Linked DNA regions of Ovis aries. The protein of the gene in region 4 purifies or fractionates together with the protein of the main gene of each other region. This does not show direct contact. Links are inferred from orthologs where the notes say so. Each region holds a gene or a part of one and is shown on either strand. Other genes may lie near its edges.

Evidence for each region.
Region 1: the proteins of MORF4L2 (region 4) and PHF12 purify together in Homo sapiens (affinity purification with mass spectrometry; 9 studies listed by BioGRID and IntAct, counting the BioPlex papers as one, with this or other methods). This does not show direct contact. The link is inferred for Ovis aries from reciprocal best matches to the Homo sapiens genes MORF4L2 and PHF12.
Region 2: the proteins of MORF4L2 (region 4) and HDAC2 purify together in Homo sapiens (affinity purification with mass spectrometry; 4 studies listed by BioGRID, with this or other methods). This does not show direct contact. The link is inferred for Ovis aries from reciprocal best matches to the Homo sapiens genes MORF4L2 and HDAC2.
Region 3: the proteins of MORF4L2 (region 4) and RBBP7 purify together in Homo sapiens (affinity purification with mass spectrometry, with the first as the bait; 3 studies listed by BioGRID). This does not show direct contact. The link is inferred for Ovis aries from reciprocal best matches to the Homo sapiens genes MORF4L2 and RBBP7.
Region 5: the proteins of MORF4L2 (region 4) and KDM5A purify together in Homo sapiens (affinity purification with mass spectrometry; 4 studies listed by BioGRID and IntAct, with this or other methods). This does not show direct contact. The link is inferred for Ovis aries from reciprocal best matches to the Homo sapiens genes MORF4L2 and KDM5A.
Region 6: the proteins of MORF4L2 (region 4) and ASH1L purify together in Homo sapiens (affinity purification with mass spectrometry; 5 studies listed by BioGRID and IntAct, counting the BioPlex papers as one, with this or other methods). This does not show direct contact. The link is inferred for Ovis aries from reciprocal best matches to the Homo sapiens genes MORF4L2 and ASH1L.
Region 7: the proteins of MORF4L2 (region 4) and SIN3B purify together in Homo sapiens (affinity purification with mass spectrometry; 5 studies listed by BioGRID and IntAct, with this or other methods). This does not show direct contact. The link is inferred for Ovis aries from reciprocal best matches to the Homo sapiens genes MORF4L2 and SIN3B.

Annotation. Positions count from the first base shown.
Region 1 is NC_056064.1:20,259,348-20,264,105, forward strand, and holds the start of PHF12 (PHD finger protein 12), read right to left. Parts: upstream 2,912-4,758; 5' UTR 2,410-2,911; coding exon 2,344-2,409; intron 1,697-2,343; coding exon 1,515-1,696; intron 1,159-1,514; exon of another isoform or gene 1-1,158.
Region 2 is NC_056061.1:23,747,285-23,751,251, reverse strand, and holds part of HDAC2 (histone deacetylase 2), read right to left. Parts: intron 3,451-3,967; coding exon 3,333-3,450; intron 1,268-3,332; coding exon 1,193-1,267; intron 688-1,192; coding exon 549-687; intron 1-548. UniProt on the Homo sapiens protein: Histone deacetylase that catalyzes the deacetylation of lysine residues on the N-terminal part of the core histones (H2A, H2B, H3 and H4).
Region 3 is NC_056080.1:15,062,375-15,066,341, forward strand, and holds part of RBBP7 (histone-binding protein RBBP7), read right to left. Parts: intron 1,282-3,967; coding exon 1,136-1,281; intron 1-1,135. UniProt on the Homo sapiens protein: Core histone-binding subunit that may target chromatin remodeling factors, histone acetyltransferases and histone deacetylases to their histone substrates in a manner that is regulated by nucleosomal DNA.
Region 4 is NC_056080.1:129,270,637-129,275,387, reverse strand, and holds the start of MORF4L2 (mortality factor 4-like protein 2), read left to right. Parts: upstream 1-1,756; 5' UTR 1,757-1,815; intron 1,816-3,071; exon of another isoform or gene 3,072-3,143; intron 3,144-4,546; 5' UTR 4,547-4,632; intron 4,633-4,751. UniProt on the Homo sapiens protein: Component of the NuA4 histone acetyltransferase complex which is involved in transcriptional activation of select genes principally by acetylation of nucleosomal histone H4 and H2A.
Region 5 is NC_056056.1:213,066,734-213,069,769, reverse strand, and holds part of KDM5A (lysine-specific demethylase 5A), read left to right. Parts: intron 1-450; coding exon 451-657; 3' UTR 658-3,036. UniProt on the Homo sapiens protein: Histone demethylase that specifically demethylates 'Lys-4' of histone H3, thereby playing a central role in histone code. Does not demethylate histone H3 'Lys-9', H3 'Lys-27', H3 'Lys-36', H3 'Lys-79' or H4 'Lys-20'.
Region 6 is NC_056054.1:105,708,926-105,713,379, forward strand, and holds the start of ASH1L (histone-lysine N-methyltransferase ASH1L), read right to left. Parts: upstream 3,203-4,454; 5' UTR 3,044-3,202; intron 2,703-3,043; exon of another isoform or gene 2,582-2,702; 5' UTR 2,327-2,581; exon of another isoform or gene 2,281-2,326; coding exon of another isoform or gene 2,132-2,280; exon of another isoform or gene 1-2,131. Other genes in the region: DAP3 (small ribosomal subunit protein mS29), read left to right, coding at 2,132-2,280. UniProt on the Homo sapiens protein: Histone methyltransferase specifically trimethylating 'Lys-36' of histone H3 forming H3K36me3. Also monomethylates 'Lys-9' of histone H3 (H3K9me1) in vitro. The physiological significance of the H3K9me1 activity is unclear.
Region 7 is NC_056058.1:5,999,211-6,003,682, forward strand, and holds the start of SIN3B (paired amphipathic helix protein Sin3b), read right to left. Parts: upstream 2,852-4,472; 5' UTR 2,836-2,851; coding exon 2,728-2,835; intron 2,487-2,727; coding exon 2,380-2,486; intron 1,078-2,379; coding exon 924-1,077; intron 1-923.

The DNA.
Region 1 (4,758 bases), on a different chromosome or scaffold from region 4:
GAATTTTGGGAATGGTAATGGGAGCTTCCTACAAAACTTCTGACCACAGACTTAATTTGCCCAGTATCACTCATCTGTCTAATAAGTGTTCCCAAACCTGCAATTAGTACAAATACACAACAGGCACTATTTCACCAACCTGGGGGCGGAATGTGAATGGAACTGTGTAGAGAGCTTAAGGAAACCCTCACTTTATGGTATTTTTTTTTTTTTAAAAGAGAAGGTTAAAAATGGCAATATCAAAAACGGGTGGGAACAAACGCAACAGCCCCTCTCTTTCCCGCTCTCTCCCCAGCCATCTCCTCTTGCAAACATCTGCCTCAGTCAACTGTTGCTGAACAGAGCAAGAGCCATCCGAACAAGAATCGATCGGGGTCCTGGCGCAGATGTGGGATTTTTGAGGAAGGCCGAGGTGACTTCTCCAGGCAGGAGCTGGAGTTTACACTCTTCTTGGTCGGATTGTTCTGGGCTGAGCCGGTGAGGAGGATCAAGCAGCGGGCGACTAACCCCGGTCCCTCCCTCCCTCTACGGTCTCTCCCCTCCCCTTGCGTTCAGTAAGTGGGGGGGAGAAAAAGTGCCCGGCTTTCCAGCTCTCCGCTCCTTAAAAATGCCCTCGCGGAGCCAGGGCACACAGAACCCCGGCAGCAAAGAATTTTGCAGAGAAGGGTTCGCCGATCCGGAGCGGAGCAGTGAAATCGGCGCCCAAGGGCAATTTTAATTGTCTAACCCGGCTCGATTTCCTAAGAGGCGGCAGCGCGGGGAGGGGAGGGAAGAGGCAGGCAGCTCCGACAGGCAACAGGGGCAAGCGGCGGGAGAGAAAGGGGACCCCAGCGGCAAGACCCCAGCTCCGGCCCCCGACGAGCTTCCGCCGAAAGGACTCCGAGGTTACCCCCACCGTTCCCCGGGAGACGTCTGCAAATCATATATGCAGCCAAAATGGCGCTGAGAATAAAAATATAATTTAAAGGCGGGTCGCCATATTGTAAACAGAGAAGCAGAGCACAGACGGACTCAGAGACACCCTCCATGATTTCTTCCATGGCCGGGAGCGCCCGGGTGCCGGGTCCCTCAGGCCTGGACCAGGGCAGCTCCTGCGGCAGAGGGCTCCCGCGCACCCACCCCGAGGACAGCCCATCCCGGCAGGAGCCCGAGGGCGGCGGGCGGACGCGCGGGCGGCGAGCGGCGCAGGGCCCGGAGCTCCTCCCCTTCCTCCCCCGCCACCGCCGGCCGTGCCCCACCGGGTCCGTCCCGGCTCCCCAGCGACTTCCAATCCCAGATGGGGCACTCCGCACTCCTCCCCACCCCCACCTCGGGGTCCGGACCTACGGCTGCTCCTCCCCCTCAAACGGCCGGATCCGGGCCGCACCTGGGGGCGGGGAGGCGCTCGCCCCAGCGGCTGCAGAGAGCTAGCGGCTGCAAGCGCCCGTTATCTCGGCCAGCAGGGGTAGGCCGGGTGAAGGAATGTGCCGGGAAGGGTCCGCCAAGGGGCTCCGGAGGGGGTCCCCAGACCTTACCAGCACTGGAGATGGAAGGCGGCCGGGCAGTGGTCACAGCACAGGAGGTCCCCACCTTCCTTGCAGCTATCGCAGCTGTCGTGGTTGGTGGCCCTGCCGCTTCTCCGGGGCTCCTTCTCAGGCTTCCGACTCCGCTTTTCGGCCTCGTCCGTCTTGGGGGGAGCCAGCAGAGCTTGGATTTGCTGCACACACATACAAATGGCGTGTGTGCACACTCGGAGCTCCCGGGCGGTCCGTCGCCCCCCCGGCGCGGCTTCTCCGTCACCCACCCCTCTCCCCCCTTTTGTCCTTCTTCCTCCCATTCAGGCTGCTCCCAGAACCTCTTAGCCCCCGGAACCAGGGGGAGGCCACCCTAACCGCGTTCCTGCCGCACAACAACGAGCACCGCTTCTTCCAAATGGGGAGGATCAGAGTAGGGGGATGGGGAGAGGGTGCGCGGTTCCCTTCTCGCCACTTCCTTGTATGGACAGTGGGGGACTCCAAAGCCAGGCTCGGGAAGGGCCTGAAGCCCGGTACCCGGACGTGCTGGGGGAAGCACAAAGGGGCCGACAAGAAGGGGGTGGGGAGGCCCGCCGGTGCAAAGAGATGGAGTGGGTTGGCGCTTCGGGAGAGCGAATCGAGGTCGGCGGGTAGGTGAAACTGCTGCAAACGTCCTCGGCGGCTGAGCTCGGCCCCCCGAGTTGCAAAGATGGGAGGGAGAGTCTCGGTGAGGAAGAGCCCCCCCTCCCCCGGCCCTCTTGCGCTGCGAGCTCAGGGCCGGCTTTGTGGGGCGGAGGGCGGAGGTTCCCTCCCGGCGCTGGGGGAAGGGGATGAGGTGGGCCACTCTTACCTCCATCAGCCCCCCCGACGTGTCCAAGTCGTACACGATCGTCTTGGTCTCCATTTTCTCCCACATTCATCCACCTCCCGGGCTGGGCGCTCTCTGCTCCGGCCCCCCCAACCCCGGGGGGAGGGGGGAAGCGGGGGGAGGGGGCGCTCCTGACCCCGGCCCTTCTTCTTTTTTCCAAACACGGGTCCCGACTTCCTCGCCCTGGCTCCCCCCCACCCCCCGGCCCCCAGTCCCCGGGACGGCAGCGTCCTCCCCACGGGCCGTGAGGGGGGAGCGGCCCCTCAGCCCCGGCCCGGCGGCTGGCTGCACGGTGGGTCCCGGCTCGGGGGGGGTCAGGCCTCGGCGGGGCCTAGTCCCACAGGCTAGAGCCGGCGCTGGCGACCGCTGGTCCGGCCGGGAAGGCTGGCGGGCGCTGCCATCCCGGGGTTGGGGGGATCGGAGGTGGGGGGGTGAGAGGTTAGGTGAGGTTGTGGTACGTGAGGTGACTGCGGGGAGGGTGATGGGGGGGTGGTCCCCGGGCTCCGCCTCTCGCCGCCGCCGCCGTCTGCGTCCCGGCTGCCGCGCACTTGGCGCAAACTTACCGCGAGCGCCCGCAAAGCCACCCGCGCAGGCGCCCCGGGATCGCCGCTCGCCGCGCGCAACCGCAGTGACAGCCGGCGGCCGGGCTCCCGCGCAGCCGCAGAGAGGGGGCACCCCCCGGCGCGCAGCCGCGCTGGCATTCGTCTGGAGCGCCGATGCCCCGCCTTTCAGCCCTGCGCCAGCGTACTGTGAGGGTAGGGCGGGACTTGATGTCTCGCGCAGGCGCTTGGGAAAGCTCCGAAGGGTCACGGCGCAGCCGCACGGACACCGGGGCTCTTCATCCATTGGTGTTTGAGTGTAGACCGAGAGGACTCTAGTCTCGCGCAGGCGTGTTGCGGGTGCTCCCCTCCCGCCCCACAATAACACGGCCCGCGCCGGCGCAGGCGTATTGTCACCAGAAGGCCCTAACAAGAATGCTTCTCCTTTCGCCATTTTGGTAGTGGGTTATAGACTACTATGCCCTTGGAGTCCTCAGGCGCGAACAGAAAGAAGCAAAGTGTGGTGTTGGCTGGTGCTGGTAGGCTGTCGGTGACAGCATGTCCTCCTAGGGATGTTGTACTGGACTGTTTGGGTCCAGCGTCAGGTGTGGCTGGACCAGGCGCCATATTGGTAAAGAGAAAAAGAAAAGCCATCGCGACGGAAAACGATGGTTTTGGTGTCGGGTTGGATGGCTTCTGTTCTCTCTTCCCTCCCGCTCCCAGCAGTAAATTTTAGCCTGAGCATCCCTGCCTTTCGTAGCGAAGGCACCGTGGAGGTCTGCCTGCCCGACACCACCCTCTTTTGATTACTGTCTCTGAAAATTGCCCTCCAAGAGGAAACCAAAGGCTAAGAGTTTGTAATGCTGACAACGCCCAGCTACCTGCCCGCAGTGGACTTCAGCTCCCAGTTTGCAACGCGCCAAGGTCCAAAGGGCGAAGGGAGAGCATTGCACCCTGGGAGCAAGAATCGCGATGGGTCTGGTGGATTCTGGGAGCCGTAGTTTCGTGTGCGTGCGATGCAGTGTAATGTAGGATGGACTCGGGGAAGAGGGAGATACCTTTCAGAGCTGCCGCTGTATGCTGGGATTTATAGTCTGAAGGTCTCATCTCGGACTCTGGGCAGGGCTTCACGCTCTCCACCGCGCCTGTCCCTCCCTTTGGTGCCATCTACGAAGATGGCCAGTTGCCTCTGCCTGACTGTAGATGAAGCGGTGGAGGAGGGAGGGGCATCATTGCGCCTGATACGAGGTGTTTAGTTGGCATTGTTACCAGGTAGCTGTGTCCTGGCTCACTTTTGATATTAAGGTATCCTTAGCATTCTCAGAAACCTAAAACTGGAAAGGGCTTAAAACCTAAAACCATCTGTATTAACCTCTTCATATCCTGATGCATAGAGAAGAGTAGTGATTGCCTAGTTCACATAGTGAATTTATGGCAGACCTAAGAATGAGACGTATTTTTTTAATTCCCAGGCTAGGATACTGTCTAACTGCCTGAACGGCTTTGCTGCTTTGGGGTGGGGGATAGTAAGGAGGATGAGTCTGATAGGGTGAGGTCGTGGGGGTGTGGTCTTAGGTTTCTGTTCTTCTGACTTTCCTAATGGTCCGGTTGGTGCCTGGGAAGAATAATAAAGTCCTGGGCCTTATTGATCAAGCAGGGGAATATGTCATGTAGATCGGCCCTCTCTACCCTCTACCAGCCTCAGCAAACAAGAAATCTTAGTGGCTCTGGGACAGAGAGAGAAGGGCTGAGCTAGAAGTATAGAAGTGGCTGGACCTTATGTCTTCTTAGGCAGTATTTCATGCTACAGATGCTCAGAAGTGGGTATATCATGGACCCTCTCCTACTGGCTTTCTTC
Region 2 (3,967 bases), on a different chromosome or scaffold from region 4:
ACTTTGTAAATCTCCAAAATCACAAATACCTCTATAGATCTTTCTCTCCAACTGACAGTCAAGAAAAACTTTAAAACTGATTCCTTTAGCAATTTAGAGATAATTATATCCATTAGTAGAGAACAAAACCTTACTCTATGAGGGAGCTAGGCAGTGAACTGTCACATTCAATAGATAAACAAATTTTAACACAGGTTTCAAATTTTTTTCTTGAAAGTTAAAACTTACAAAATGTTAAAACACAAACTTCTAAGGTCACGTCATCTTTTTTCAATAGTTAGAACTACATCTTCAATCTAAACTGTCAAGCTACTTCTAATACTTTTAGGAAGGTACTTAATAAACTCTCAGACATCAATATGCAGTTCTCATTCTTAATAATCCAAGAACTAGCCAAATTTCCTACATTTTTACAATGGTTTGGAATGAATCTGTACATGATTTATCCACTATTTTCAACCCATTGTTCATGTTTTAAAAAAGGCACAGGTTTTTACTATGAATTAAAACACTTTTTACAGGAAAAATGTCAAACACAATGAACTTACTTTAGTAATTCAAGGATGGCAAGCACAATATCATTAACATAACAGAATCCTGATGCTTCTGACTTCTTGGCATGATGTAATCCTCCAGCCCAGTTAACAGCCATATCAGTTTGTTGTCGGTTTAACTTCACAGCACCAGCTAACAATTAAAGATAGGAGAAATGTTTAAATGTTCAAAATTAAAAGTTACTATAACTAGACAAAAGCCCTAGAGGAAAGAGGATGTCATGCATAAGCAAATGAGTATAAAATCATAAGAGGACCACTGCCATGGGCACTAACAGCTTCTCTTTAGGTGACTATTCTCCTGTAGCTGTGATCTGGTTACATAAGAGCACACAGTTGGAAAGTGGTAGTGACAACGGTAGCTAGAAGAAAGGGAGGAAAAAGAAGTCTCTAACTGGAAATGCAAGTGAAGTAAAAAGCTGCAAATAAAAAGTTTGAGACATTATGATCACAAAACTGGGTGGGGGGGTGCGCGCCACTGAAAACAACTGTAACTGTAGACAGCTATAAACATACTATACACATACTACTTTTGTTATTAAAATCAGACACTATTAAAGCTTGTTTCAAACAAATATCTCAAAAAATACACACAAGTTTAAATCAACTTCTAAATTTGACGAAATCAAGACACTTACCAACTGAGCCACCAGTTGAAAGCTGACAAAACTCAAAAAGTCCATCAAACACTGGACAGTCCTCTCCGACATTAACTGTGGAAGACGGATTTCATTAATTTCAATCCATTCTGTGAATCAATGAAAGCCTTTTCTTACAAAAACTATATCCTAAAAATAACATGTGTTTGATGCAATCATAAAACATACACATCATAGTAGTAAAGTTTGCAATTTTATCCAAGGCAGTTAAAATATAAGGTCTGAAATACCACCACCAATTCTTCACATGATTATCTATGGAAAATATCTGCTTTTTAAACAAATCAGTAGCTATCAAAATAGAAAAGGTATTTGGGGTTATTTAATTAAAATACGAGGTTAAATTTCCTAGGCATTTCTCCTTAAATATAGAGCAGTAAATTAATTAAAATCCTAAAAAGTTTAAGCTCACTTACTTTATGATTTACATTTTTTAAAACTCCTTTAAGTATACAGAATATCCATAACTTTGAAATGTACTGATCACCAAAAAAATGTAACAGTTGGTTGCCCACATCCATGGTTAGTGTTAATCTTAAAAGATGGTAAGAATTCCGTAAGCTGATGACAGCCAAGATACAGATGAAAGAGATACTTAAGGCACAAGGAGACAGCACACGAATATAGATACACAGCACATCACAACATATTTAGCTTCTTGGTACTGAGAGGATGAAATGGACACAGATTGTACAACCCATTCTCAGTTCTCCTCACCCCTCAATTTATATCCTCTTCAAGAAAAAGGGTCATTACTTACTTTGTATAGGTTTGTACATCCTTAATTTATTTTAACATATACATTTTATCTTCCTGCTATTCAGATATGATCATTATCTTAATACAATTCAGTATTATGTAAATTTAAAACCAATCCTGTTAGTTCATTTTACCTTAGGGCTAACTATGACTTAATCTAAGCCTAAATCCCCATTGAAAAAACAGGGGCAAATAATATCTATTAATATTTGTAATACAACATCTTACTGAATCAAATGAGATAAACAAAATGTACATCAAATTCTATGAATTTATAAGATGTCTAGCAACTACACTTAATTTAGTATTACTGAACAAATAATACTGTTTTAACAAAATCATTAATGAAGTCCATCAATAAAAACATCGGAATGAATGCCAGTATCAAGCTTTAAAAAACATTGTTCTAGTCATTTTAGAAAGACATCTTGCACTCTATCTTCTTGCATTCAATCTCTAATAATAAAATATCTACAAAAGATAACACTGTGTAGAAGAGAGTCAAAAGCTTCATTGATACAACAAAGGGAAATACAGATATACGTACAACTGTCCCTTGGTATCAACAAGGTATTGTTTTTAGGACCCGGATGATAGCAAATTCTGGGGATGCTCAAATCCCTCATACAGTGTTTTCATACAACCAATGGAACATCCTCCCATATATTTAAATCATCTCTGATTACTCAATATTTAATATAATGATAGTGACCATGGGGTCACTAAGAGTCGGACACGACTGAGCAACTTCACTTTCATGCATTGGAGAAGGAAATGGCAACCCACTCCAGTGTTCTTGCCTGGAGAATCCCAGGGACGGGGGAGCCTGGTGGGCTGCTGTCTATGGGGTTGCACAGAGTCGGACACAACTGAAGTAACTTAAGCAGCACCAACAGATAGTTGTAAATGCAATGTAAACAGCTGCCCACAAGAGGTAAATTCAAGTTTTGCTTTTTTGGAACTTTCTGGAATAGTCTGGATTAAAGCACACAAATAGAAGACAAGAAACATACACACCAGACTACTGCCAAAGTACAGTCATATTTTTAAAAGCAGGGGAAGGAGGTTTCCCTACCAACATCCACTATCTCAAAGTTAACATGGAACCAAACCAAAGAGCAAAGAACATCCAAATAGCTCTTTGGCAGTTCGGCAGACCAATAAGCTTCAGGTAGGCTATTTTTTTTTTTTTTTTTTTAAAGCAGCTTTAGTATTGTCACAGGGACTTTTAAAAATAAATAAATAATAAAAATAATTAGATCAGGAAAATATCTAGATTTAGGTAACTCTAATTGCAAGTTCTGAAAGTACTTATTTATACTTATCCCTCCTAATATATACTTTTAACAAAGAAACGTACATCTCTGCATCTGCTTACTGTACTCAGACATGTTATCTGGTCTTATTGAACGTAGAAATTTGATGTACTCATCACTGTGGTATTTCGTCATTTCTTCAGCAGTGGCTTTATGGGGCCTCTGTGAAGAAAAATAAATGTCAGAATTGTGTAATTACAACTGGTTAGATCAAGGTTACCAAACACAAAGTATACAATGTCCCCTACCACTACTCTCAAGAGAACTGTCTGCCAGAATAAAAGAGATACATTTCAAAGCAAATCCAAATTTATACATATGTGTTTTAGAAAGCAGTAATCAATTTCAAAAACAATATTCCTTTTAAAAGGATTACACAGGTCTAACACCAACTATGAATCAATCACTCCTTTTTTTTAGTGGAAACAGCTCAATCCTTCTAAAGACTCTACTTTCTAACATTTTCTACCATAAACCTTCTGCTCCAATGCCAGTAATTTCATCACTGACCATTAATTTTCAGGAAGGCTGAGACTCATCCAGGTAAAATGAGACTCATTTTCTATTAGTTCATGACCTCTCTTCCTTTTCCTTTGACTATCCTAATCATCCTTGTTCCCAGGAAGTTCACTTCATTTATGACACGCTTCCTGAATGCAAGTCCTATTCAACTCTTCTC
Region 3 (3,967 bases), about 110 Mb from region 4:
ACATTTACATGGTACACACACAGAGAACTGAATGAAAAAAGCCAACTGTACAGCATTATGTGTGAATAATAAAAATAGCTGAAAATGGCACACTAATTTCAGGACAGTGATGAATTCTGGAAAGGAAAGCAGAGAGGAATGGAGCAGGGTTGGCAAGATTTTAGCTATAAAGCAGTGTTTTATTTTTTAAAAAGTACTGGACAATGTTAAGATCTGCTTAACCACATGGGGTTGTGGGGAAGCACTAACCCGGCAGGTCTGCTTGCTTAGTCCTCGCTGCTGATGGAAACTGGGGCCACAACTGACCCCTGATCAACTCCTGGGAACACAGACCTCAGAATGTCCTCTATGTCACTGATGGGTTGATTTTGTGGTGTATACCTGAAGCAATGGACCATGCTGTTCCAGTCTGTCAGGGTGGCTTTGTACAAATATCAAGATTGACGATACACACCTGAGTTCATTACTGGGGTCTCAAGATTCAGTTGCCATGGCTGGCTGCCAGTATAATTTGCCTACACAACCAACCCCCAAGAAAGACAGAGACCCTGACCCTCAAATGGGTTTCCCTGGGCAGAGATAGCCCACATGTCTCCCTGTTATTTGTTGCCAGAAACAAAGTACATCCTGTGTGGCCCTGGATGAGATTTGCACTGGACTTCCCTAGACTCCCTGATGTATATCTTTTTCCTGCTGCTTCTGTTCATTTCTAATTATAACAAACTTTAGCCTTGAGTATAATTTGCTGAGTCTTTTGAGTCCTCCTAGCAAAATCATCAAACTTCGGTGGTTGTGGGAATACCAAACAGGGGAATTATGTTTGGTTTGCAGGAAGGGAGTCAACAACTTTCATAAAAAAGCTATTAACCATCTGGTATAAATGCCTGACTTTTTTTTCTATGCATACACCAACACATATTCTTACTATTACCAAAACTGTTACTATAATCACACACATCAGTTACCCAATTTATCTTGGACACCTTTCCATACCAGTGCATACAGATTTATCTCATCGTGTGAATGTAAAATTTCAGAGTTGAGGTTTAACTACCCAAAAGATATTGGTATAAGTTAATATATAATTAGAGGCTTACTCCTCAGACACCAATGCTGGAATGTATGGATTACTTACCACCCTTTTCACTGTCACAGTGGGAAGCATCAAACTGCGCATCATCATTCGGAATATGGACTCGAGCAACCACGAGATGATTCTGCTCATCAGATGTGTGAGTCCCCAGCACTAGCCAATGAAGGGCATAATCCTTTCCTTCCGGTCTGTTTATGAAAGAAAATAAGTCATATTAATCTTATAAGGGGATTCCTTGGTAGCTCACATGGTAAAGAATCTGCCTGCAAAGCAGGAGACCCAGATTTGATCCCTGGGTCAAGAAGACCTCCTGGGGAGGGAATGGCTACCCTCTCCAGTGTCCTTGCCTGGAGAATTCCATGGACAGAGGAGCCTGGCTACAGTCCAAGGGGTCACAGAGTCGCAAATATTCAGACATGACTGAGCAACTAAAACTTCAACTTTCCCCTCCACAATCCTTTAAGAAATCAGTTGCTAACAAATTGTCTATCACTGACTCCCGTATTCATAAATCATGACTTCTCACCTAACAACAACAACAAAAAAAACCTTCAATTTTAATACTCTAGGTGTTTCTGGTTTCCCAGTAAGAGGTAAAAAGGCAGAATGGACAAAATAAAGTGCTGAGTCAAGAAAAACTGGGTTTAAACCCAGGCTCAAACTAAAATTAGTTATATGTGATTCCTTAAATCACAACTTCCCCGCGGGTCTCAATTTCTTCACCTAAAAAACAGGTTATGAGTAAAAATGACATGATGTGAAAACCCCTTATTTATGGTGCTTAACGTTCATAAAACAGGCATTCCCATTTTTACAGGGGAAGGCAGGGGAGGGGGTCGTCTTTGTTACCCTATTCTATGGTAACTCCTTGTGGCTAAAGAAACCACTGATGACTCTTGGCACTTAATCCAAGTGATGATTTTGCATCTGTATCTATTAACAATGCGTTCCCATTTGTATTATTCAGAACAACTTTCACCTGTGTCCCATAGTTCCACATTAGTAAGGCAGGCTGAGAAGTAAGGCTCTGAGCCCCAACATTAAAAAAAAAACAAAACCCTAGACTGTTTCTAAATTCCAGCTGTACAAAGGATTCATTGGTTTAGAATAAAGGTTTGTGAATTACTTCCAGGCATATAATTTAGTAATAACTAAAAAATACAAGATTAAATTTTACCAAGATTGGGCTTAGGGTATGAAAGAGCAGTAAATACACAAAAACTCCAAGAACAGAATAAGGCAGCCATGGCTAAACAATAGGAGTTCATTTGAAAAAGAACATGGGGACTTCCCTAGTGGTCTAATGGCTAAGATGGTGCACTCTCAATGCAGGAGGCCCAAATTCCAGCCCTGGTCAGGGAATCAGATCCCATATGCCACAACTAAAGATCCCACAGACTGCAACAAAGATCAAAGATCCTGCAAGATCTGGCACAGTCAAATAAATAATAAATAAATAAATAAAATATTTTTAAAAATAAAAAAGTGAATCTATTTAAAAAATTAAGACATGGGTCTGAGTTGATGTGTGTTCAGTGGCCAAGAATACGATGTGGTTATAAAAAAATTAATTACTTTCATCTTACATGAATTTATATAGGGTAGGAAGAGGCAATACACATGGGCATTCATCTACTAATCTGTGACTGGGAAAACCACACTTAGAAAATTAGGCTCTAGGCAATGCATTTTAGAAGGACTTAGGCAAAAATGAAACTTTTACAGGGAATAGTGGCTTGAAGTGAAAGGGAACTTAAACATATCTCATGAGAACCATTTGAAAAGAAATAGGAATACTTGAGAGAAAGGAGGCACCAGCAATATCAGGGCTGACATAAAAGGAAGAAAAGTGACTTGTTTTTTATAGCGTTAAGTAGAAAAATTCTAAGACCTACAGGTAAAGTTACGGTCAAACACATCAGTTCATCATATGACCTTTTTAAGGAGTAGAATTACAACATGGACTAGAGGGTCTGAAAAGCTTCTTTTGACTCCAAAATTCAATTATTTCAGTTTCCTCTGACTCCATCATCGTATAAGGATTTTTCTTTTTACTACAAATTCTTTCATCACCATCATCGAAAAACAAGCCTACTTTTCCTCGCCCATCAATATTTCACTGCTTTCTTCAAATACTGGATGTACCTAAGGCTGCAGAAGCACTCGTTACAAAAGACCTTGTCCATTTTCAGTGCCAGAATTCTTTGACCACTTAAGGAAATTCACCTGACAATCACAGATTATCATCACAAGGTTATTCTTGGTAGGAATGCCTGAAATAGCCAAAGACTGAAAACAAATATCCATCAATAAGGAACTGGTGACACAAGTCACAGTATATCCACAAAGGAATTCTACCGAGCCCTTCATATATCTAAGCATGCTTATAGGAAAAAAGTCTCCAATACAAACTCTTAATTTAAAAAATCAAGTGAACAGAGACTTCCCTGGTGGTTCAGTGGTCAGAACTCCAAGCTTCCACTGCAGGGGTCACAGGTTCGATCTCTGGTTGGGGAACTAAGATCCAAAGTCAAGTCAACAACTTCCTAACAGAAAAAGAGGGCGGAGGGGCATAGCATGTACTTCTTCATGCCGGCAGGATGGATAAGAAATCACAAATGACTCTGCTCTGGGTAAGGCAACCAGAAGAACAGAGGATGTGGAAGGGGAACTTAGTCTTCACTCTATGCAGCTTTGTATCATCTGAATTTGAATGCATACATAGATTTTTAGGTAGAGCATATAAGTCTCAATATGTTTAAGAAATTATTCAATAAGACATATGAAGTAATGATCTACTGGTTTTGAAAAATAGTTTCTTAGAGATACCTAAATAAAAATTTAAAGAGCCAAATCAATTATTTGGATGATCAC
Region 4 (4,751 bases):
ATAAAAGCAAGAACGGAAACACTTACGAGCTTTCATATGTTATCTTTCATAGAATGGAGTTGAGGGAAGGTATGAAATCATCAAACTGCTTCCACTTATTTGGTTTGCTTCCTTGCCGTATTCTTGATACTCCAGTCAATGTTAGCCAAGGCAGGGAACAAGGTATATATAATGTATTCTGAGGCCCCAAAAGATAAGATAATGCAGCTGAACAACACAGTACTGTCAAGGGCATGGGCTCCAAGGGCAGGTAAAGGTCAATCCTGGCTCCCAAATTTTGTATGCACAAAATAACAGACACCACTTCACAACAGTCTTTCATCTGTGAAACAGGACAGATAGCATGCAGGGTGTCTCAATAAAAAACATATGTTTATTATTTTGCTTTACATTCTGTAGCACCCTCTAGTGGAGTGTACAAAAATAAGCATTATATTTCTACCCTCCAAGAAGTGTGCATTGGAATCACCAGAATAGTTTGTTATAACACAGACACCCAAACCCTAACAACTACTAGAATTTCTGATTAGTTTGGAGGTGAGAATCTAAATTTCTGACAATTCCCCACCAGGTGGTGCTATTGGTGTGTCTGGAAAACACTTTGAGAACCTCTGCTCTAAATCCCACCCCTCCCCAAAGGGTGCACGTGTGTGCCCAGAAACACATATGCACACACACACAAACGTATGGAATCTATAACTGAAATAAGTATAACTTGTGTTGTTTGATTTTATTAGTATGCCTCTAACAAGGATTTTGTGAAGAATTAAAGAATATCATGTGATATGACACATCTAAAATATAGAAAGCATGCAAAAAAACAGGATCACAGAACATAAATCCCAGGTTCTCAGAACTAGTAAGTGGTGGAATCGGGCTCAAAATTAGGCCTCTAATTAGGCCTCTAAACTCCAAAAACATAATAAAGTTTCACAGTACTACTGCAGAAGACAGGGTGAAAACACAAATATCCGATCATAATTTCAAAAGTGAAAGATCAGTTTTCAATCCCAGGGTCCAAGCCCAGTGAAGACAAATGTCTGTACTGACCAGAAAACCACCTGTGTTTTCCCTGCAGCAGAGCAGGGGTCAGGGTGAGGTGGTAAAGCGGGGCAGGTGGCAGCATTTGAAAAGATCCTAACCCCACAGAAAGGGTTAGAATCTTCGTATCTTCATCGGCGTCAGTGCTTGGGGGTCATTCATCAAAAATCCCATGGACGGAGGAGCCTGGTGGGCTGCAGTCCATGGGGTCGCGAAGAGTCAGACACGACTGAGCGACTTCACTTTCACTTTTCACTTTCATGCATTGGAGAAGGAAATGCAACCCACTCCAGTGTGCTTGCCTGGAGAATCCCAGGGACGGGGGGAGCCTGGTGGGCTGCCGTCTATGGGGTCGCACAGAGTCAGACACGACTGAAGCGACTTAGCAGCAGCAGCAGCACCCCCAAAAAAGGCAAGAAGAAAGAGATGGGAGGGGGAATTTTTTTTTTAAGGAGGAAAGAAGTAAAGAAAGGAGGTAAACATTTGAATAGAGCCCTACCTGGTAGGGCTATTAATAAGTTAATTTGATTTTTCTCGAGAAATGAAAGATATATATGATCTTTATAGATTGGAAAGCTCAGCAAATCAGAAAAAAAAAAAAAAAAAGATGGGGGAATCCCATAATTCCAGGGACCAAACAGCCAATCCTTTGCTGGAATTTGGCGGCATCTAGTGGCAAACTCAAAAGGTATAAACCTCACACGGAGAACTTTCTGGAAAATTAGAGTGCATACTTGCGTTAAGAGCACTCTGCCTGGAAATCAGAACAAGCAGGTAAGAGAGCCTCAGCTCCCACAGAAATTCGGAGTCCCTAGTGGAGGGGAAGTCTGTCGTGTACAGATATTCTCAGCAAAATATTGTGGCAGAACTGGACGCAACTTGGGGGTGGGGGATGGACGGGGGAAGGAGCGGGGGTTGGGGGAAGACGGCTATTAGGGAACAGCAAAGCTGCTTTTTGGAACTGCTAGTAAGCGAATGGGGGATTTGGTTGTTAACCGCTGCTGGGCTACGGCTTAGAACGGGATTTTTGATTCGGAGATAGACGTGGGAAGAAAGTGTATTTTTAGGGTTTAAAATCAAATCGATAGGGGAGACCGAAGTATTTCTAGCGAAAATCCTTTATCTCAGTGATGGTCGCCATAACTTAATTGCTTAAATTTCCGTTTTATAAGAATAATTTTCAAACATAAGTAGAAAAATGATCCGCATAGAACGCGCGCGCTCACGCGCGCACACACGCGCACGCACCCGCCCCAGAACACACACCAGCCCCGACGCTAGGGGCGCACGCCTGCGCACACCAGCCACCTCCAGCGCCACGAGGCCTGGCGTTCGCGCACACGCCAACGCCAAGGCCACGCGGGCTCGCTTGCGCACAGGAGCCCTGACACCGCGCGCCCGCAGTACCCCCCACCCCCAACTCGCACACACATCAAAACCCCCAGTCAACCTTTATTTTTTTTTTTTCCTCCGGGAGTTGCGCAAGAGGTTCGGGGGCGTGGCCGCAGATTTGACCTAGCGCTTCCCCACTCGCGGGGACCTTAGCTCATTTCCGCCCATCCTGTTTCCGCAGGCCACGTAGACACTTCCTTTCCCAGTTGGGGGGGAACCCACAATGCCTCCCTGCAGGAAAAAAAAAAAAAAGAAAGAAACCTCTGGGCAGGGGAACTCTGGGTCGTGAAAGTGGGCCACGTGAACACTCTGCCCTATAGACTTATGACCCAACCGCTGTCGCGCTTTTGGAGGGCGGGCTGAAAACCTAAGAGGGCGAACGTCATTGGTCAGAGCCCTCACTAAAGGAGAAAGGTAATTGGTTTCCTTCAAGCCTTAACGGTGAAGAAGCAGGTTGCTAGCACCCGCCTTTACTGCGGCGGAGTGTCATTGCTGACGTGGTGAGCTTCATCCAATCATTTGGTTATAGAACATTCTAAAACTTAGATGAGACGATTGTGATTGGCTGTAGGGCATAAGCCCGCCTCCAGGGTGACGTGTCTGCCTATGGATATCAGTTGCCAGAGAAACCTGGCTTTACTATGGCGGTTGGAGAGTCGGCAGTGATCACACGTCGTCGTCTGTCGGAAAGAACTGGATCCTCGTTTCAGGTTTCGGGGTGGGGGTGGGGAGAAAGGGTTGACGATTTCCTCTTATCGTCGCGTATACAGACAAGATTAATTAATGGCTTTACTATCGGGCAGAACTAGATTCGAATTCCTACTCGCCAACGCCCAGCTTGGGCTGGCTGTTCTTTCTGTGTCTCGGTTTCCATGTTTGTAAAATGGTGATAATAATAGTATCTGTCTCAGAGACTTGTGCCTCAGAGGCGTGTGCTGTATATTAGAGCGTATAATATACGACTGCTAGGTAATGTAATACGTATAATAACTTAATACGCACCGTGGCTCCGGAAGACGTTAGCTATTACTGTGGAGAGAAAAACCCGCGTAATAGAGTGAGAAAAAACGTAAAATTATGTAAAGTCGTTCCTTACAGTGCTTTTCCTATCACCTCCTTCCGTAAAAGAAATTCGAGATACAAAAGAGACGTATCAGTCTTTACCAATGAAATAATTTATTTGACAATTACCTCAAAATAGCGGGGATTGGAATTTTCCGTATTGAAAAGTTAAAAAAAAAAGCGGGGGTGGGGAGAAACGGAGAATGAGGAATGAGAGCTAGCTGGAGATGAACCACATGCGATGAGTAGGCCTTGTTTGAATCCTGATTCGGGGAAATCAACTATAAAAAAATACTTAAAGGTGCATCAGGAAATTTTAAAGACGGATTCGACATTTGATTTTTTTTAAGGAATTAATGACGATGTTTTTAGACGTTGTAATGATACTGTGGTTATGTTTTCAAATTGCCTGTAGCTTACAGAAATATACGAAAATACGAATTAAACAATAAAAGCATTCAGACTGGCTTCAAAATACCTTGATGTCTAGGATTTGCTTCAGAATTAGCTCAGCGGTAAGGGGAGGTGGCGAGGGGCATAGATAAAACAAAATTGGCACTAAATGAATCGTTTAAGCTGAGTGATGAGCTTATGGGATTCCTTGTATTGTTCTAGCTTCCTTGGTATATGTTTGAATTTTTCCATAATAAAATACAGAAAGTCAGCTATTCAGTGCTCTTGAGAAAAACAAGAGTGGGGGGGGGGGCGGCGAGCAGTGGGTGGGGTTACAGATAAAACAAGATGGCCTTCAGTTGGTAATTGTTGAAGCTGGATGATAGATTCGCAAAGGTTTATATTATTCCCCTACATTTTTATCCATTTGAAATTATCCTTAATAAAACTTAGAAAAAAGCAAAAACAAATTATCGGAAATCATGATAAATGTACAATAAGGTAAATTTGAAAATGTAGCCACAAGAAAGGGGGAAAAATCTTGTACGTATTTTATCAGCTTTGGTGTCCTTTGTGTATGTTAAAATGCATTGGTGGAAAACAAAACGTTCATCTCATATCTTTATGTCCTTTGCTGTCCCCTTGTTTGACCTTCTAGACTACCATCAGAAAAACTAAGTTTGCTGTGTAGTGAGGATCAGGTCTGATCCTGATTGCAGAACATCCCTCATTACAGAATCTTGGGTAAGTGCCTCCCTTCTCCTGGCCTCAGTTCTGAAACAAGATAATTCCACATAACCATGATAACTATCTAGGAATATTTTGAGGATTAATAAGGGCCTGTCGAGGAAAGCACTCTACAT
Region 5 (3,036 bases), on a different chromosome or scaffold from region 4:
TACTTTGGCTTATCTCTTTGAAATAAAGCTAATACACAGGATTGCCTTCACATTGTTGTACTCTGCCTTTCCTGATTGATAATTGCATTGTCTTAGAGCCTAGACGTTGTTAATATTAGCTAAAACTACTTGGCTGCTCTATTAGAAGTTCCTTTTTTTTGTCAAATTTTCTCAAACATGTTTCTGCCTTGCAAGGAGCCCCAGGTATTTATGAGGTGATGGAGTACCTAAGAGGCCTTATTTTGTGGACACATTACGGAAAAAAACATAATTCGGGGGGATTAACTTCCCAGCTTCTTTATTTAAATAATAACTCCATAAGAAGTCATTGTCTATCTCTGGGCATTCCCGTTATTTGCTATCATTTAAGCCAAGGCAGCTCTTTGGTTTGCTTATATCCCAGGCTTCCTGCATGTGTAACCTAAATATCCCCAATCTTGTCTCCAACAGGTGGACTGGGTGCAGTGTGATGGTGGCTGCGATGAGTGGTTTCACCAAGTTTGTGTGGGGGTCTCTCCAGAAATGGCGGAAAGTGAAGATTACATCTGTACAAACTGTGCAAAGAAGCAGGGGCCAGACAGCCCAGGGCCAGCGCCGCCCCCTTCCTTCATAATGAGCTACAAACTACCAGTGGAGGATCTTAAAGAGACCAGTTAGCAGACGCTGGGTTGGTTTGGGACACGGGGGAAAACGGACCACACTGAGACCGTAGTCATCAAGTAGAGTGGTTTAGGTCCACTCGGAATGTTGCTTCCAAAGATGAACGGCCTTCTGGGAAAGTCCTCTCAGCCGACTTCTCTGCGCATGGATGTGGGACCCGCGTTCTCTGTCTGCACTCGTGTGCTATAAGGGTGTCTGCCTTGGTCTAGCAGCTGGGGTTTCAGTACATGTCTCCTCTGAGGTCCTTTGTCACATTAAGGCCAGACACTGGAGCTCCAGGGTGGCAGGTTGGCATCATTGCGTTGGTGTGCTCGCAGGGCTTGTAAGAGTGTTTTAGGGCCAGTTGATACTAGTTAGAGGTTCGCGGCCAGCACTGTTGGGAGGTACTGACTGCTTGGATCTCCTTAGTTAGGGCAGTGGGAGGAGTCAGAGGACCAGCTTCCTTCCACTCTGACCTGCTTTTGATGCCTGGCAGGTCCAGCTCGGAGAGGACCAGGACGAACATAGTCCTGTTAGAGGCTGTGGGAAGGGGGCCTGGCCTGTAGACCTCCGCTCCGTGTGCTTGTGTGTACCAAGAGGAAAACCCCAAGTGAGGGGCGGATCACCCCATCTTCCTAAGGGGAGGAGAGTAGCATCCAGTTCAGAAATCTGACTAGATTGGATTCTGGGAAGAAGAATCTTGCCAAAGGCAAGCAGCCTTTTTTGGCTTTGAGAAGTCTTGTTACCTTGGGTCTGCATTTAGAGAAGAGCAGGTACGTGGATCCAGGCTTCTGCAGCAGCAGAGACAGTGAGTCAGAATGTTTCACTGAGCTAGCGGTGCATGCTTTTCGGGGAAACCTTCATTGACAAGTGTACCAGGTGCCACCAGGCTTCAGGCATGGCCACCAGCAAAACCAGCAAAACAGCTTTTTGCCTTGCAGCCCTGCCCCACTGTCTGGTTCCAGGACTGGCAGTTGCTGACAGAGGCCGGCTGCGGGCGCTATCCCGTAGCCCCATGGCTTCCTCCGAGGAGTTGGGCATAGAGTACCTCTGGTGACGAAGTTGTTTTAGTAATCCATTTTTAAAAAAAGAAAAAAGGACTTGTTTTTACTTTTTTCTAAATGTCTCTGACTACTGACTGTTCTATAAATAGATTATTTTTCCTTTTTTAATATACATATATGAATATATAAATATATATATATTTACCATTACCAGCAGCTTGTGACGGAGTCTCAGCATCAGAAATCCATTTGGGGGCTTGCTTTCTCTCCTTGCTTTTTATAAAGGAGTCCCACGCCTTCCTTGTAGTACATGGAGTTAGCACTTCCTTCTCCAGCCTCGCGTGACCAGATCGTCCATCTTGTTTTGTCCAGATAGATAATTCTGTTTCCTTTGTGTGTTGGGGCTCGTCCCTGTGTGTGGGGACCCTGATCGTGCTGTATCTGCAGTGGTGGTTCTGTTTGGTTCTGCTCCGTTCTGTTTGTGAAAGTTTGAAACAACGGTGCTGTGTTGTCCTCCTTCCTGTTGTGTTCTGTCCTCGTGGAGGTGTTAGGGACGCTCTTATTAGAAGGGGACTCTCTTTTTTCTTTAAGGACAAGAAAGACCCACCAAACAAGCTGAAAATGGTGTTTCATCTTCACTATCCTGTGTCCCTTTATTTTGGGTTGAAAATATGTGGTTTGGCTTATAAATCCATCAGTTTTCCTTTTAAAGGGGGGAGCAAGATGGGCCCAGAGAACAGCTAATACTCTCGTCCTCCCTTTTTAAAGAAATGTCTTCTAGTAACTAGAAGCGAAATGTACTGTCGAGTCACAGTTTGAGTGGGTATGAGATTTAACTCAAAAGACCTTCCTAAAAAAAAACCTTTCCTGTAAAATCCAGTTTCTGGACATGCTTTCTCTAGTTCCTATTACCAATCTTTTCGTCCCTCTTCCCCTGGTATCATAAAATCTTGAGTGTTAAGTTCATCAGTGTTGACGTGCATGGATCTTAACGTTTCATCTCAAGTGTATGTATGATTTAAGATTTCATTGGAAATTACAAGGTAACTATTTCCATAACTTTTCGTTTTGATAATGTACATAAAGATACTACTTAGTTAAGAATTTCATCTGGTTATAGAAGAAAGCACAATTTTTTTTTTCCTTTTGGTCTTCTCTGTAAAAGCCTTCAGACACTTGTAGGTTAAAAATTGATTGCAGTCTTCAGTGATGGCTGCCTGGAACATGCTTTATAAAACACCTTATTTTCCCTTCAGCTGTCAGCAGAGGGACATATGAGGATGCTGAGAAAGATGGCTCAGGGGCTCTGCTTCTTGGAGAGTGGGAGATAGGGAGAGAGGGCTGTTTAGGAAATGATTTATGTCCACAATACGGCATTTGCCTGCATGTTTGA
Region 6 (4,454 bases), on a different chromosome or scaffold from region 4:
ACTCCTCACTCCCAATGCAAAACTGGAAAACAATCAGTTTGAGAATATGAATAATTATGAGAAAGAATAAATCTATAAACATTTGTGTTATATCACATTCTCTGATCACCTAGTTAGAATCATGTTTTAACACTGTAGAAATCAATCTGCAAAGAACAGAAAACAAAATAAACAGAATAAAAAAGATCTTAAAGTTCTCCTTACTGTCAGCATGCTCACTGTCAAAAAATCTTTCATCTTAAACTCATACCAACATCTCCACTCCCAAACAAAACTATTTTTAAAAAAAGACTTTTAAATGAGACTTAAATATAAATTGGCTCTACTTCATTACAATTTAAGTTTCTAAAAACTGTATGCATAATTTGTGTGATTGTGCTCATGCCCATCATTTTCTACAGTGAGGGTTTTTTCATCACATTCTCAGAAAAATAAGTGGACCCCCCCAAAAAACTTCTAAGAACCACTAATCCAGCAAATCAAGAACACTCTATTTTCCGGAGAAATACAGTTAAGTTGCCTTAATTCAAGTATACTTCTCTCATGTTCAGAGAAGGGGATCCTTACTACAAAATTAGTCTTTCGAAGAATTTCTTCAGCGCGGCCAAAAAGTTCCAATATTCACAGGCACATATATTGACAATTCCAGATCCCCAAAACAGTTTACTGGGAAATGCCCAAAGAAAATGCAAAAGGCAGCACACTCTACCACAAACTGGGCACCCTATTAGATGCTTAAATACACTTGTATGCTTCCACAGTGAAACATCTGGAAGATCTAAATTCCCTCCAAACTGAGTACACTTTTGAGGAAGGTTTTTGAGTTTCAACTCCACACTGACCTGTCTACCTCACCTGACTCAATATGTATCACTGTCTCAGTATTTACCACTGTCAAGACAAATGTACCCGAGCTGCTTCAACAGGGTCACCTTGATTTTTCTCACCCCAAGGCAGGGACCATTTATTGAGTAGTTACTCAGTAAATATTTGTTGAATGAATGAAAGAAGATCCTTTATCCCTTAAAGTTAAGCTGTCAGCCCCCACCCTGCTTCTATGTTACCAGTTAAATATCCCTCCCTCAAATACACAAACTCAAGTGTTAGAAATGCTCTGCTTCCTCCATAAACAAAAAGTAATATCCTCATGGAATACCCATCTCTCACAGGCCAACCTGGCAAAGACAACCTATGTTCTGTCTGACACAACTGATCTCTACCAAATACCATTCAATATGCCCTTATCTTTCCAATAAACTCAGATTTGCCTGACAAAGATCTCCTGAGATGTCATGATATGATGACTATACTACTGGACTAGGAGTCAAAAGTATCTATTACAGTCCCAAATTTGTCACCAATTTAACAAATGACCTTGAAAAAATGATGTCTTCATGCCTCAATTTCCTATTTTGTAAATGGGAGAAAACATTCATCCTACCATTTCCACAGAGATTTATTTATGATTACAAACAGAGCATTCTGAACAATATAAAAGCTTTATTCTATTACGAAGTGTTAATACAAACTCAGGTCAACAAAAACTCCATCCATTCTTTATACACTCACAGTACATTGTTCAAGTAAAGATGTTCTGGGCCTTTACATCTAAACAATTCACCCTATTCTGAGCAACAAACTATTCTTAAGAATAGCTGACTATGATAAGTTTCTCCTATTCTGGACCCCACCACTTACATGCTATATTTCCAAAATACTACCATGACTTCTCTTTCCAAGTAAGTATTAAGGCAATCCCAAACCCTGAAATACACAAACACATCAACCAGCAAGGAACATCCCAAGCTTTATTTTAAAAATAAGCTAGTATAAGGGGAACTCCATTACACTTGTAAAAATACAAGCAAACTCTTCCGGAACACTTTCCTTCCTTGTATACTCACACAAACACAGCCGCTATACACCAACAGACCATCTGTCTTCTAGACCAAAAACATGTCTTTCAATGCCCAAAGCCACGAGTAACATTTATTAAACTTGCGGAACTGAGATCATTCTGTCGTCCCTACATACAGTTCAGCATGTCAGAGACACCACAGATCTGGCCGTACGGAAAATCTTCCCTCCTGCCACTTTTATCCCTTCCACGAAACAAACAGGACTATGGGGGATGCTCCAATCCTTCCTCCACAAGATACAAACTAACCTGTCAGGGGCACAGCCGACTCCGCCTCCACTCGCTTACTTTCCCGCCCCCTCCCCCAGCAGGAGCCCGCCTGTCAGGGACACCCCTGCACCCCCGCCAGGAGGGACTTCCCGGTAAGCGCAGGATCCCCTGCCCTCCCCTCCCCTCCCCCATCCTTACCACCGCTCTCCCGGAGGTCCAGGTCCGGGAGATGACAGTAGCTCCCAGGAAGCCAGGGGCTGGGTCGCTGAGGAAGTACTTAGGCCCAAAGGCCTCCCCAGACGGTTCTACTCACCGTGTCAGAGGCCGAGGCCGAGGGAGATGAGAGTGCAGGGAAGTGGGGAAGAGGGGGCGGCCGCCACCAGGCTCCTCCGCTTCCCTTGGTCCACAGCGGATCCCTCCCGCTTGTCAGGAGGCGGCCAGCGGGTGAGCGGACTGGCGGAAATGCGAGAGAGGAGAGGGGAAAGGCGTGGGGCTAAGCGGGGGAAACTGAGGGGAGGCGGGTCCCGCAACCGAGACGGGGATCTTCTCCCCCTCCGCAAAGCGAACCCAAAATGGCGGCGGGAGCGGCGGCGGCAGAGCGGCGGCGGCGGCAGCTCCTTGGGAGGGAGGGAGCGAAGGGCGCCTCGTGCCCCCCCACCTCCCACTCCTCCCTCCTCGCGTTTTCCCCCTTCGTCCTCCCCCCTCAGCCGACTCGGGCGGCGGAGCGCGCACGCCCGCCCGCACGCGCCAGAGTGTATCTGGGCTCGTCGCTCGCTGCTCCCACCAACCACCGCCTTCGGCCGCCTCGCGCGCCCGCCAGCCAGCACGCACTCCCTCTGGGGCGCCTTGTGGCACAGTCCTCCCCTTCCCCTCGGCCCCTGTCAAGCCAGCTCTGGCGCGGGCCCTCACGCGTACCTTCAGCAGCGCGAGCCCAAGCCTCCTCCTCCACCTCCTCTCCTCTCCTCCCCCCCTTCCCCGCCCCCACTGCCACCAACCGCCGCCACGGCCGCCGCGGCCTCCTCCTCCTCCGGCCCCCCCGACATACCCTCCACCCCTCACGCGTGCGCCTCCCACAATCCCCCCCGCGGGACTGTTCCATTCCCGTCGGCCGCAGAAGCGGGGGAGAAAGCGACAGGCGCAGTGGGCAGAGCTTGCCGTCAGGACACGAATGACCGCGAGTGACGGAGAGAAACCTGTGGCTATTTACCTCGCTGGCCGCGGCGCCCTGGCGCCGCAGCTTCCTTTGCTGGCCTCGCCCTGGCCGCGGCGAGCGGGTCGAGGGCGGCCTAGCGCCCCTCCGCTGGCGGGTGGTTGGAGGCCGCGGCGGCTGCGCATTGAGCAGCTTCCTGCCTTACGACCCGAGCTTGCTTCTCCGCTGCGGGACGCGCGGCGTGGAGACAGCGCTTGACAGTGTCTGCCGTTTGCCGGGCGGGGAGAGCTGGTTTCTGACTCGGTGAGGAAATGGACCGGCATGGGGGTTGTACCCATGAGGGAAAGGAGCGGGACTCCGAACCTCCATGAGGTAGGGAGTGAGACCAGTAGGGCCGGCGACCCTCCTTAGGGGGCTTCCCTTTGGGCTCTGTGTTGCGGACCTAGGACTCAGGAAAGAACCCACTCAGTGGTCGACTTTTTCCTTTTCTTTTTTTTAAAACCCAGCTTAAATTTCTCGAATTTCACACTACTGTTTATATGCGATGATGTTTTTGTGCATTTTTACGCATTCTTCTTGGATGGATGATGAATGGATGATACATTTTCAACCTCATTAGGCAGCCTGGCTAGGGAATAAAGATACCATATATATCAAGTTCAGGTCTGGACTCCATCTGCCGTGTCTTGTGTGTCCTTCAGAAAGTTATTTTTCTTAGTTCTTTATCAACAAGAAACGAAAAATTGAGCATAGAAATTAGTGAGCCGCTAATCTGCCTTCAGGGTTGATGTGCGATGTACGTGTAGAGTCAAATTAACTCCTAGGTACAGGGGAAGTGCACTGTTATGTTATCGTTCACGGTGATGTTGATAAGGTTTGTGGATGTAATTGGTAGTTTGTGTCCTATTCTTCCAAATCGTAAATAAAACAATGCAAATCTAGGTCTATCAGATTTCCATAGTTACTGATACTTGTGTCTCAAAACTCTGCATGAACATTTACTTTTTCTTGATTGAATTCAAAAGAATTATGGACTATTAAAAGCCACAGATAATTCCAAAGCTGTCTTCTAGTAATCTTTTGTTTCACCTTGTAGGCAAAGCCGAATAAATGAGGCAAGGGATCCACTTAGGTTTCCCTTTTACTTCACATCTGTGGACTTCTAGGCAATAGTTT
Region 7 (4,472 bases), on a different chromosome or scaffold from region 4:
CCTGAGCTGAGTCCACGGTCCTGCCCGCAGGGAAATGAAGCACATCCACAACAAAGACGGCCGGTCACACACGCGTCTCCACCACTTCCTCCTGTGCGCTGCCAGGGTGCTCAGAGGGATGACCGGCCCGAGCACAAGCGGGGGCCGCCTAGCGCTCCGAGGGGGAGCCTCAAACCCAGACCTTGGTGGCTGCGACTGCCAGTATCTTTTTTAATCAGAACACAGTTGCTTTCACAATGTTGAGTTTCTGCCGTACAACCAAGTGAATCAGCCACACACACCCCCTCCCTCTTAGACCTCCCTCCTCCTCCAACCCCACCCCATCCCTCTAGGTCATCACAGAGCCCTGAGCTGAGCTCCCAGCGCTACACACCGAAGGTCCCAGTAGCTAAGCGTTTTACACATGGTAGTGTGTTTATGCCAAACCTAATCTCCCAATTCACCCCACCTTCCCCTCCCCCACTGTGCCCACACGTCCGTCTTCTATGTCTGAGTCTCCATTCCTGGCCTGGAACTACGTTCCTCTGTCCTATTTTTCTAGATTCCACATGTTAATACATGCCCTAATATACCAATACTGGTTTTCATCTTTCGGACTTACTTCACTCTGTATGACAGACTCTTAAGTCCATCCACATCTCTGACTGTGACTGGACATAAAACTACGTTCAGAGAATGCCTCCTTGACACATACAGACACACCCACTCTTGATTTAAATCTGCCAAGTGGATCAATCTGGGATGCAGAGGCTGCTGGGGAAGGTGTTTCAATTCACTCTGATTTGCGCTAGAAGCATTTCAAGAAGATCGGCCCTTCACCTGCTTCCCTGCCAATGAAACACACGGGATATACTGCCTGGCATGAGTACCCCCAGGGCCAGGGTGGGCGGTGCTGAGTCCAGGTCACTCACACCACTGCATACCTGGCTCGACAGAGGCGACTGTATGTTTAACTTGCCGTTCTTGGGAATGTCTATCCTGTAGCCGAGAGGGAGGAAAGCGTTGAATCCAACAATGAGGTCAGGGTGTTCGTGGAAGAGCTGCGACACTCGCCGGATGACACCCGGAGTATCAATGCTGCAACAAAGAAGACCAGGAGTGGGCAGGAGGGTCTTGGGGGGCAGACTGGGAACCGAGCTGACTTCTGACTCTCTTACCCGTCCCAGGACACAGGCTGCTCAACAGACAACGACGCACCCTAAACTGTGTGACTGCAGACGGTGGTCCACCACCAAGGCAGCCAGGCCTGGGCTCCCTGTATCTTCCTGCCAAAACCCCACACAACAGGCGCACAGCACAGCTCCCAAAAAACCGCAAGCACGTGCGCTAGGCTCTGGAAACGTCAGGAGAGCCAGCTGCACATCCTGAGCTCCAAGAAGTGACAGGAAGCCAAGTCCTCTAAACAGGGAGACAAATTCACTTCATACGAATCAGCGATCTGCTGTTCCCAGGAGTTGTTCCCAGCAACTGACGGTAATGCATAAATGTCAAAGGCCCTGCACGTATGGAAACTGCGTAACAGCTCAAGGAGAGAGGAGATAGAGTTCTCCCTCGGGGCTGCAGTCAGGGCCAAGGTCTACCATCGGGCTTGGGAAGGAAACCAGGTGAGCCCTGCCGTTATTACTTCCTCTGTGGGGAAAGCACCACGGTGTAGATCTGATACAAATCTAAATCAGAAGGCATGGAGTCCTGGTCCCGCCTCTGCTTCTAACGTGAACCTGGGTGAACCCCTGGCCCACTCTAAGTCTCAGCAAGACCCCTGTCAAACAAGACAGGGGATCGAGAGGTCCCTGATACATCTCTCACCCCCTTGATCCTGTGCCTATGAAAACAGCTAATGTGTTTTAAATGCCTTCTAAGTGCCAGGTTCCTTATTAAGCATTTTGTGTGCGTTATTTCCCAAGCAGGCCTGGGATGAGGGCGAGGCAAGTAAGGCACTCACCTTGGGGATTAAGATTTGAGGGGGAGAAAGTGCCAAAACATTCCTTAATCTGGATAAGTAACATTTTCATGTAGTGCTTGGGGCGGGGGGGGGGGGGAGCGGGGATCTAAATTTTTAAAAAATCCCGGACGAGCAAAATTTATCTTTAAAACCCGACACTCTGAGTAAAGACAGGATCCCACCCTGTGCTTGCCTGACCGCCTCACTCGCCTCACCGCATCCCTGCCCTCCTTCCAGGAATCCCCACAATAGCTCCACAAGGAGGGCACCCTTCCGTCCCGTTGTCTGGAAGAAGGACCGAGGCTCCGAGCAGCCACCACCTGCGCAAGGTCACCCTGTTGGGGGCCGGCGCGGGCTGGCGGCTCCCACGGCGCTCAGGCCCACTGCGGCCCAGGGCGCGCCCTGGGGCGGCCCCCGGGCAGGGGCCCCGCAGGTACCTCTGGCTCTTGAACTCCTTCATGATCTCCAGGAAGCCATTGTAAGTGGCAGGATCGCTGCCGAAGCGGATCTTCACCTGGTCCAGGTAGGTGAGGGCGTCTTCCACCTGCGGGGAGGGGGAGGGTCCCGGTGGGCCGCGGTCGGCGCAGAAGGGGCCGGGGCCGGGGGTCCCTGGCGGGAGGGGTGCAGGCCGGGCTCCGAGGGGCGGAGGCAGGGGGTCGCGGGTCCAGGGCCCGGCGGAGCGGAGGCCGACGCAGGGCCAGGGTCGGGCGGGGCCCTGGCAGGGGGCGCCAACCTCCGGGGACTGGACGGCCGGGTTCCCCAGGGAGGGCTGGGGCACCACTCACGTGCACCGGCAGTTTCTCGTGGCCCCCGGAGCCCGAGCGACCCCAGCGGGCGCCGCTCAGCCCCCGGCCCGCAGGGCCGACGCCGCCGCCGCCGCCAGCGTGCGCCATGTTGGAACTCGGAGCCGCGGCCCGCCCCGCCCCCCGCCCGAGGGTGGGCCGCGCATGCGCTGGCTCCGCCCCGGAGGGCGTGGCCTGGCGGCGGCTGGGACGGCAAAGCTCCTGGAGGGACTAGCTGTAGGATCTTACCCAAAAAACTGAAAGGCTGCTAACGCTTCAAGTACCACCGGTGGGCAAACCAAGGGCTGGCCTCTGCTTTTGTCCGGCCCCACAAGTAAGCTGAGAATGCTTTTTACAGTTTTAAAAGTTGGAAAAACTCCGGTAGTGCAGATTACTCCGTGCCACGTGAAAATTCTATGAAATTTAAGTTTCAGTGTCTGTAAAATTAAGGTTTACTGGAACGCTGGAATGCCCACTCGTTTACTGGGCACCTCTGGCTATTTTTGCGCTTTGACAGCGGAGTAAATAGCTTCTACAGATGCTAAGATCTACACAGCCTGATATATTTACTGAAATAGGGTTCTGGACCCCTGCTTTCTAGGGTTGATGTAACAACTGGGGGTATGGACACACAGCACCCCAATACAAGGCCCTGCATTGAAGTGTTGCCAAAATGCTTTTTTTTAAGATGTTTATTAATTTATTTGGCTGCACTAAGTCTTGATTGCAGCATGCGGGATCTTAGTTGTGGCATGCAAACTCTTAGCTGTGGCATGTGGGATCTAACTCCCTGACCAGAGTTTGAACTCATGCCCACTGTGTTGCGAATGCAGAGTGTTAGCCATTGAAACACCAGGGAAGTCCCTGCTAAACTGCTCTTGACTTAGTCCTGATCCTCCTCTCCTCACTTCTCTAGTCCTGTTCCCATCGCTTCCCCACAGGACCAGTTTGGGAGCCTCTTAACCAGTTTTTCCAGTCACAGTGCTATCAGGAACTGAGATCATTCCACAACTGCTTCCAAATCTCCAAGGTCTTCCTACTTCTTATGAGTTAAATCTAAGCACCTGTATGCAGCATTGAAGGCAATCAATTGTGAACCTAAATTGTGAACCTTTTCTTGCAGAATTTTCCACCCAAGTAAGCTGCCTTCTATCTGTGCAGAAACTCCTGTCAATGCCTACTTAGCCTGGCTGCTCCCTGACCCCATGCGTCAGCCGGAAGCCCTATTAATCTCTTCATTACACAAAAAGCACCCTATATATCCTGCAAAATACAACCCAAATATCCTCTCTCTCAAGAAACTACCCAACTTCTCCTCTGCCATCCCACGGTCTCTTGTACATCATCTGCATTTGGTATCTCTACTTGTGAAGAGGTGCAGGAAAGCTGAGAATATGCTGGCAACGGGTGCATCGTTTGCCAGGGGTCAGGAGTAAAATTGGGACTTGCCTGGTGGCTCAGACAGTAAAGCATCTGCCTACAAAGAAGGTGACCCGGGTTCAATCCCAGGGTGAGGAAGATCCCCTGGAGGAGGGCATGGCCACCCACTCCAGTATTCTTGCCTGGAGAATCCCATGGGCAGAGCAGACTGGCAGGCCATAGTCCATAGGGTCACAAAGAGTCGGACACGGCCATAGGGGCTTCCAGCAGCAGGAGTAGAATGGTGAGCAGAACTAACAAGGCTTTTACCCCCACAGAGTCATCAGTCTTTCAAGAAGGCTAAAAATCAATCACACACAGAGATGTAA